Linked DNA regions of Cricetulus griseus. The protein of the gene in region 2 purifies or fractionates together with the protein of the main gene of each other region. This does not show direct contact. Links are inferred from orthologs where the notes say so. Each region holds a gene or a part of one and is shown on either strand. Other genes may lie near its edges. The genes, in order: Napa and Stx4.

Region 1 (3,805 bases), on a different chromosome or scaffold from region 2:
GCTGTGCTCAGGAGAGTGGACAGGTGGGACCTCCCATAGCTTGGAGGCTCCCACTCAGCTGGGACTGGAGGAGCATGCAAAGTAGTGCCTTAGCTGAGGTGGTATTGGAGCACCACCCACAGCAGGGAAAACCCTGCTGCCTCCCCTTAGCCAGTCTAGGGGAGGTCTGAGCAAAATGGTGTGGAGCCCATGGCTGCCTCGGGCATTAGCACTGTCTGCGCGGACTCTGGCTCTTGCTGTCCTCGTCCTGTTTCCCTTTCTAGCAAGGACTCAGACATAGCAGGGGTGCACCTGAGAGCTTTGGGGAGTTGTGGAGGACAGAAATGGGCTAGGAAAGGGAGCAAGTGGGAAGTGTCACATGGGTTGATCTCACCTGTGCCTTCCCAGAGCACATCCCTTCCCCCCCCCCCAATCGCCCCATCCCCACCTTTAGTTCAGGTTCTGGGCTTCCCTGTTCAAAGAGCCCAAGAGCCTGGGTGTCATGTCTCATGTATTTGCAGCCCTCAGCTCTCTGTCTGTCTTTCCTTCCTCTCTGTGGAAGTGGTGGCTCTGGAGGTGCCGGCAGAGGGGGGGGGGACATGGGTTTGGCACTGTGTTTACCTGGCTGTTTCTGTGCCCCTGGGCTCAGGCTTCCCCCGAGGCTGCTTCCTGACGTCCTCACTCTACCAGGTGCATACCACCAGGAAGCTCTGTGAGGGGTTCAGGCTGCTTTTGGGCTGGAGTGGGCTGATCTTGGCCTCTACCTGTATTCTAATTGTGAGCCTAATGTGCCTCTCTGGGCAGTGACTGCAACTGCATTGAAGCTGGGACGATCTGTTCTATTCCAGCTGCCGGGAACGCTTTCTGCCAGGCTGCCCAGCTGCACCTACAGCTCCAGAGCAAGCATGATGCAGCTACCTGCTTCGTGGACGCAGGCAACGCTTTCAAGAAAGCCGACCCACAAGGTAACCTCTGTGAGCCACAGCTGGCAGAGCAGCTGAGCACTGTCCCCACATCCTTGGGTCTATACAGAGCTGGGTTTTTCCAGTAGTTGACACATGATAGGCCAGGAGCAAAACAAGCCCCAAATTCAGAATTGGCTGGTCCTTGGCTGACATTGGCATCCTGCCCTCTCTCCCCACCCCCCACCCCCACCCTGGTGTGCAGCCCTCACCCCCTCCTGGGCTTCGAGCATTTGGTAGTGGGAGTTCCATCTCAGGCCCACTCCTTGCCAGGGAGCCAGGCAAAGCTGTTCAGTTGTCAGAATTAGCATGCAGAAGGAAGCAGGGAGCAGGGAGGGGGGCAGTCCCAGATGAACCAGGTAGAGCGGAAGTCAGCCTGACCTGCCTTCCCAGCACACCAGAAGGAAGCAGAGAGAGCAAGCCTGGAGTGAGCTGCCAGAGCCCAGTTCCTTAAAGCAGAGCCTATGACATAGGAGCCTGGTTAGGCCAAAGCACAGCCCATGGACCTCAGACTTGAGATTTCCAGGCTGAGGAATTTGCTTTTGGTATTTTTGTTCACTTATTTTTGTGGTGCTGGGAATGGAGCCTGGACCTCTGTGTGCTGCAAATGTGTTGTACATGTCCCCAGTTCTTTTTGGTTCTTTTTGAAAATGGTTCTTTTTGAAAATCTTAGAGCTACATAGATGACTAACTTTAAATTTCAGCACGCACAGGTATTTGTTTGTTTGTTTGTTTGTTTGTTTAATTGGCCATCTAAGCTAGTCATGGCAGTGCCTGCCTGTCGTCCCAGAGTTTGGGAAGTAGGGACAGGAAGATCAGACACTCAGCTATCCTTAGCTCTTGGCTACATAGTGAGTTTGAGGCCAGCCTGGGTTACATGAGACTGTGTCTCATAAATAAATCTTTAAAGTATCCAGGCTGTTTCTCTCAGGAGAGTGGGAAAGAAGTGACTGTTCTTTCCCAAAGGAGAGGCTTGGGGTCTGGGTGAAAGCCCACCTCTGAGGAGAAGAGAAGACAAGCACCTCGGTCCTCCCCAGCATCAGTGGATGTCAGCCGTCATTGTCACAGGACCACTCCCAATTAGAGAGATGACTGTGGTGACTCTGTCCCTGGGCTGACTGGTCACTCCTGTTTGTTTAGCTATGATGTGTGGCTCAGGCCTGACAAACAGAGAGGGACGGATGGCCTTTCAGCCAGGACTTAGATACACCCAGTGACTCAGGGCAGTCCTCTCCCCCACAGAGCCGTCCCCACACTTTCCCTTCTGCTCCCTGGGGAACTGGTTGGCCTGGAGATGCTGCCTGGCATCTGTGCCCTTCAGCTGCTGCTCCAGCCGGAATGGCCGGGAGGACTTGTTCCTAGGTGGCAGTGGATGCCAACCTGCAGGATGCCATAGCTGCCCCTCCCAGCTTGTGGTCATGTCCTTTTTCTCTCGGGACCCAGGCATGGGCCCCGGCCTCAGCAAGTCCAAGCTGATGGGAAAGTATTGAGGGTGCTGCAGCCAAGGGTGTGAGTGAAGGTAGAGAGGGGCCGACTTGCCTCACGGGGAAAGCACAGTTGTGAGGGGAGCGCTTCTGGTGTTAAGGGCTAGGGACTCAGCCACGTGGCATCCAGCGCTGCTGCCTTGCTGCCCTGCCCAGTCACAGTTCCACATATGAGGGGAAGGGGGTGCATTTGCACGGTTGACAGCTCTTCTGCGGGGCCAGTCAGGGCTCACAGAGAAGAGTGACCAAGCAGGGGAGGACATGCCCAGGTGGTCTGAGCAGATCACTCCCCCTCCTCCAAGGAACCCAGTGGGGACTTGTGCTGCCCCACTACACTTCAGCCTAGCCGTCACTCTGCTGTGTTCTCTCTTCAGTGATAGCACACACCTACTGTGAGCTGTACACAGCAATTCATTCCTGGCATCCAGAAGGGGGCAGCCCCTGGCACCAGAGCCTCCCTGCATGGCTGGGTGCCCTGGGAAACAACTGGATGACCAGTGGAGGCTTGAACCCCCAGTTTCTTCAGGAAGGACCTCCCTTAGCTAGCTGTGAGATCCCCTGCCCTGGGGTCTGGTCCATCAGCTCTTTAGGAATCTCGCCTGAGCTGCTTGCCTGAGGCCTGGGAATGTGACCCTTTTAGAGCAGGAGCTCTAAATGAGCTGTGAATGTGCACGGGCAGGGAAGCAGTCTGGCTTCCTATCTACCTATCCCCACCGCCTCATTGGAGCTCGTGGTTTGTCCCTAGTTTGTTGTGGACGGTGCTTGCTTAGATCTGCATGTGATCAGGGGCTTCAGGGTGATGCGGAGGTGAGCCGGGCTCTGTAACTCCCTACCTGCTCTGGACAGGCTGAGCACAAGAGGGTGGGAATAGACCAAGGGCCCTACTATTTACCTTCAAGGTTTCACTGAGGCCTGTGGCATCAGATAAGCCCTGTGGTAAGAGCAGGCCCGGGTGTCAGCTGGCAGCCTACTACTTTCCAAGCTGTTCCCAGAGCAAGGGGCCAGCATAAGAGGACTAGGCCCTGTGAATCCATGTTTCTCCCCCACTGCCGTGGCAGGGACTGTCCCACCAATAGAGCCTATGCCAACAGACCTTGGCTACCGAAGTCTCCTCAAGAAGTAGCCTTAGCATCCTCATCCCAAGAGAGTCCAGTCCACTCTCAGCCCGGGGGCAGTCCTGGAGCCTTCCCAGCACAAGCCCTCTGGCCCACCTGGACCCTCAACCCCGTGCCTCCCCCAACCCCCATCCTGAGATACATTAAAGTAGTTAAAAGATACTGAGAGCTCGTTTCCATCTGCTAGAAAATGCCTCCCACTCACGCCTCTCTCCTCCAAATAACTTGTCCAAAAAAAAAGCCTTCCCCAAATTTAAAATCTTGG
Region 2 (4,450 bases):
GTGCGCCACCAACGCCCGGCTACAAATGTTCTTAAAAATATATTTTATTATGTGCCTTCATCTGTGGTATCCAAGGAGGTGGAGGGCCTCTTCCTAGAGCTGGAGTTACAGATGGTTGTGAGCCACCTGACATAGGTCACAGCTGGGAACAGCTGAATTCAGTTCCTCTGCAAAAGTGGTGTGTGCTAAGCCATCTCTCCAGTCCCTACATCATACGTTAATATATGTCTTTACTGTGTATGCACGGGGCAGGGCATGTGTGCCATGGCACATGTGTAGAAATCAGAGGACAACTCCCAGGAGTCAGTTCTCTGCACCCCATGGACCTGGGGCTGAATTGGGTTATAAAGCTTAGAAGCAGACACCTTTACCCACTGATCCGTCTTGCAGCCCCTCGCCATCTCTTAAATTCTATCTATGGGGCCAAGGATGTCCTTGCTTGTCATTTTAACTTACATTTATTTATCATTTATTTATTTATTTTTGGTTATTCAAGACAGGGTTTCTCTGTAGATCAGGCTGGCCTCGAACTCAGAGATCCGCCTGCCTCTGCCTTCACACTTGGCTCTTATTATTATTCTTTGATTTATGTGCATTGGTGTTTTACCTACATGTATGTCTATGTGAGAGTGTTAGATCCCCTGGAACTGGAGTTACAGATGGTTGTGAGCTGCCATGTGGGTGCTGGAAATTAAATCTGGGGCCTCTGGAAGAGCAACCAGTGCTCTTAATTACCATTTTTTATTTCTCTCTCTTCTTCCCTGAACAAAGCTATTAGTGACCAAGTCCTACATGAGAAATATCTTTGTTCCCTTTTCAGTCCAAATTCCCCATTTCAGTTTTGGGAAAATATGTCTCTCATAGCCAGGACAGAGTCATGTCTGACATAGCAAATTCTCTTTGAATGGCGGTGGCATGGTGTTATAATGGATTGAGAATTTTGTGACTGGGATCCTCTACCTAGACCAAATAAGCATAAAGGAAATTCATCAGGACAGAGATCCCAGATTCAACGGTCTGTAAGGGTTGCCCAGTCACCAGTTAGTAATCTAAGAAACACTTGATGAAATGTCCTAGTTCTAGGAAAATGAAACCAACCTGGGTTTTTTTCATTCTTGTGTTGACTGAGTTATAATTCTCATCAGCTTCTTCCTTCTGAGGCTCTATGGCTGTGGGAGAAATACGAGGGTTGATGGAAAGAAAAGCTTGCCCTGAGACTTCTAAAAATTGGCTGGGAGGCTAACTGATTTCTGTCTGGGCTAGCCTGATCTACCTACTGAGTCTCAAAAAATAATTAAAAAATTGAAAATACATAATAAAAAATTTTAAATGAATCAAAAAAAATTGTTTGGGTACCAGAATACAGGGCCACATCTACATTCCAGCCACATAATAAGGAAGTTCTTGTCTTCGTAGGATTTTTTTTTACAAAGTGACTTATGAGCAGGGATATATTTTAGTAGTGACACATGATGGAGGAGGAAGGGGGAGGAGGAGGAAAAAAGAAGGAACTAGGAGGAAGAAGAAAGAAGGAAGAAGGGGGTGAGATCAGCCAACTGGACCTGGTTACGGCAGGCCTTTAATCTCAGCATTCAAAAGGCAGGGAAAGATGGATCTCTGTGAATTTGAGGCCAGCCTGGTCTACATAGGAGGAAGAGGTGAGGGAGGGGGAGGAGGAGGCTAATTCTGATCTTCTAAGAGAAGTTTTTCTTTGTATTACATCAGTGGGTTCCCACAAGAGTGAAGGAGCCTCCTAAGAAACCCTCATCCATCTGCTCAAAGAACACACACTGGGCTTCAAGAACTGTAGCAGCAAGTAGTTTTGAATTTAGATGTAAAAATAGTAATAAAGGAATCTGAGAGGCCAGCATGTAATATATGCAAAGTACCAAGGCTTAGATGCCACAGGGCAGAGATCCTAGACCCAGACCTGCTCTGTGACCTGATATATCACTTGACTCCCCAGATACACGAGCATCAGGGCTGAATCACTGGGGATGATCTGGCTGAGGCCCTTGAAGTTCATTCACCTTTTAGCTGTGCCCGGACCTCTCTCCCCAGCTGTTTGATCTCCTCGCGCAGGTTCTGCAGGCCCTGCTTCATGCCTAAATGAGAGAAGGCCAACACTTCCAAACCACAGCCTCCACCACAAACCAAAACCAACCCCACCCCCGGCCAACATCTATATAGGACTACATCCCCCATAATCCACCGGGCTGGCGTACGTGAACCCGGGTTTCGCTTACTCTCCTCGGGAAGGGGCGTGGCCAGAATGGTGACCTGCTGTTTCTCCAACTCCCGGACTTTACTCTCCAGTTTGGCCATAGTTTGCCGAATTGCCTGGACCTAGAGAGGATCACCAAGGGAACTGAAGACATAAGTGGTACTGTAGTCCTCCCTACTGCTCGGTCCTCCGGGCCTTACCTTCTGGAAGAACTCGTCATCTGGGCTGCCCAGCCGGGCGGTACCTGGGTGCACCACCAGCGCGACTCGAGCCTCATCTTCGTCGTCCGAGCTGTTGTCCCCCTGCCAGGGCCGGAGTCATTGGCACCACTCGCTCGCCGCGGTTCTCGCCCCGCAGGAGCTATGGGCTTCCGGGATTTTCCTTCCTGGCCGTCAGCCACCCCTCCCGGACCCCAAACCAGGAGTCCTCAGTCCTGCGCGCCCGCCGGGCCCCAGCTCCTCACCTGCCTCAGCTCATGGGTCCTGTCGCGCATGGCGGCCCGAGCGCCCGGTCCCTGGACCTGAGCCCCGAGGGCCTCAAGGTTCTAAGTTTGGAAGTCCTGCACGAGCTCTCTCTCACTTGACACCCCCTTCCTCACCCTGCGAACCCCCAACGCCCCCACGAGCCCCCAGAGGTCCCGCCCCTTTCACCATGCACAGTCGCCGGGGAGAACCCGACCATAGGACCCCCAAAGTTCTACAGGTTGGAATTCCCTTCTCTTCCCCCCATCCTGCTCCCGCAGCCGCAGCCCCGCCCCTCGGGAGGATGACTCGGAGCATGCGCACGAGGTCTTGTCTCTTCCTCGCTAGGGGGAAAAGGCGGAGGTCGGAAGCAGTCGCGGCCGAACGGAAGCGAGGCCGCCTGGATCGAGAGCCCGTCCGCCCCCCCCCCCTTTCTACCGGAACATCTCATATTGGGACTGGAATCTAGTTGCCCAAAGGGTTGGGGATGCGTCATTTGCACGCAGTCTGAGAGCCTCGTATCTCACATCACCCCATGGCGCCCCCTCATCACGTGACAGACCTGGCCCCGCTCCGCCGGCTGCACGCCCGACAGCCGGTCACGTGTCCCGGCGCTGTCAGCGACGTCTCGGACTTCAGTCTCGCGACGTCCCCGATACCCCTGAGTCTGAGCTGTACCCCTTGCAGAAGGTGGGGAGGGGTACACCGACAGCTCTCAGCCACCTACAGAGGAGACCCTTGTAGACTTCACTTTCTGTTTTAATTTGGGGCCCTAGGGCGTGGGCGATCTGAAGACTTAAATTTGGGGGCTGTCAGTATCACGAGACCTTGAGAGTCAGAACATAATGAGATCGGAGGCTACAGCGTCAGAGGATTGCAGGGTTTTGTAGGCAGACAATCTGGGGGTGGGAAGTGACCTCAGCCAAGGTGGAACTCTTCCCCCTACACACCCTGCGTCCTCCTGGCACAGCCTCTGACAGGTGGGCGGCCTACGCCCTGTGTGAGCACTGCAGTCCCGCTGAGCTCGCCACCTTCAGATTTCAGAGCAGCTCAGACTGAGAGGAATGTATTGTTACCTCCGCAGCCCTGAAGTCCTAGCATGACTTGCTTTTCTTTTACGGAGTCCCCAGCACCAAATTCAGAGCTTGCTACATAATAGGCCCTCACAGCCTTGATCCGAATAGGAGCCTTTCATGTATCTGAAACTAAAGCCTGTGGCTTCTCTCACCGTCCCATTTCCCCAGGTTTGTCTCTCTGGACATATTTATTGGGCACATACTATAGAGCAGATATGTTTTAGGGGCTGGTGACACATCAGAAGCCAACAGACTAAAACCCCATGCACTTGTGGGGCTGTGATGCTTTTCCCTTTAGAAACTCCTGGATTTGGAAATGAGGGGGTGAGGATAATATGGCCCTGACCACCCCGCAGAGGGATGCGGTGTTGGTGGGCTTCTCAGGAGGCCCAGCTCTGCCTAGTGTGGTCCCCTGAAAATAATGTGGAGAAAAGTGCCTACTGTGGGGCCTGACTTTCAAGGTGTCATGATGCTGTCAGCCCCCAAATGGAAGTCTTCAGTTTGTCCATGCCCCTGGGGAACCCCCCAAAACAAACCAAAACATGAATTCTGCAAGGGTATCTTTGCCTATTAACTGCTGCCTCCCTGTTCAATTGCTACTTCCCTCCTACTCATCCCCTCCCTCTGACTCTCTGTTAGTATTACAAGGGGGGGCGAGTCGGGAGGTGACCTTAGCCTGTCTCCTAGCC

What was found.
Region 1: the proteins of Stx4 (region 2) and Napa purify together in Homo sapiens (affinity purification with mass spectrometry; 4 studies listed by BioGRID and IntAct, with this or other methods). This does not show direct contact. The link is inferred for Cricetulus griseus from reciprocal best matches to the Homo sapiens genes STX4 and NAPA.

What each region holds. Positions count from the first base shown.
Region 1 is NC_048602.1:10,772,252-10,776,056, forward strand, and holds part of Napa (alpha-soluble NSF attachment protein), read left to right. Parts: intron 1-827; coding exon 828-944; intron 945-3,805. UniProt on the Homo sapiens protein: Required for vesicular transport between the endoplasmic reticulum and the Golgi apparatus. Together with GNA12 promotes CDH5 localization to plasma membrane.
Region 2 is NC_048596.1:72,932,623-72,937,072, forward strand, and holds the start of Stx4 (syntaxin-4), read right to left. Parts: upstream 2,849-4,450; 5' UTR 2,718-2,848; coding exon 2,688-2,717; intron 2,527-2,687; coding exon 2,425-2,526; intron 2,369-2,424; exon of another isoform or gene 2,347-2,368; coding exon 2,247-2,346; intron 2,106-2,246; coding exon 2,031-2,105; intron 1,170-2,030; coding exon 1,099-1,169; intron 1-1,098. UniProt on the Homo sapiens protein: Plasma membrane t-SNARE that mediates docking of transport vesicles. Necessary for the translocation of SLC2A4 from intracellular vesicles to the plasma membrane.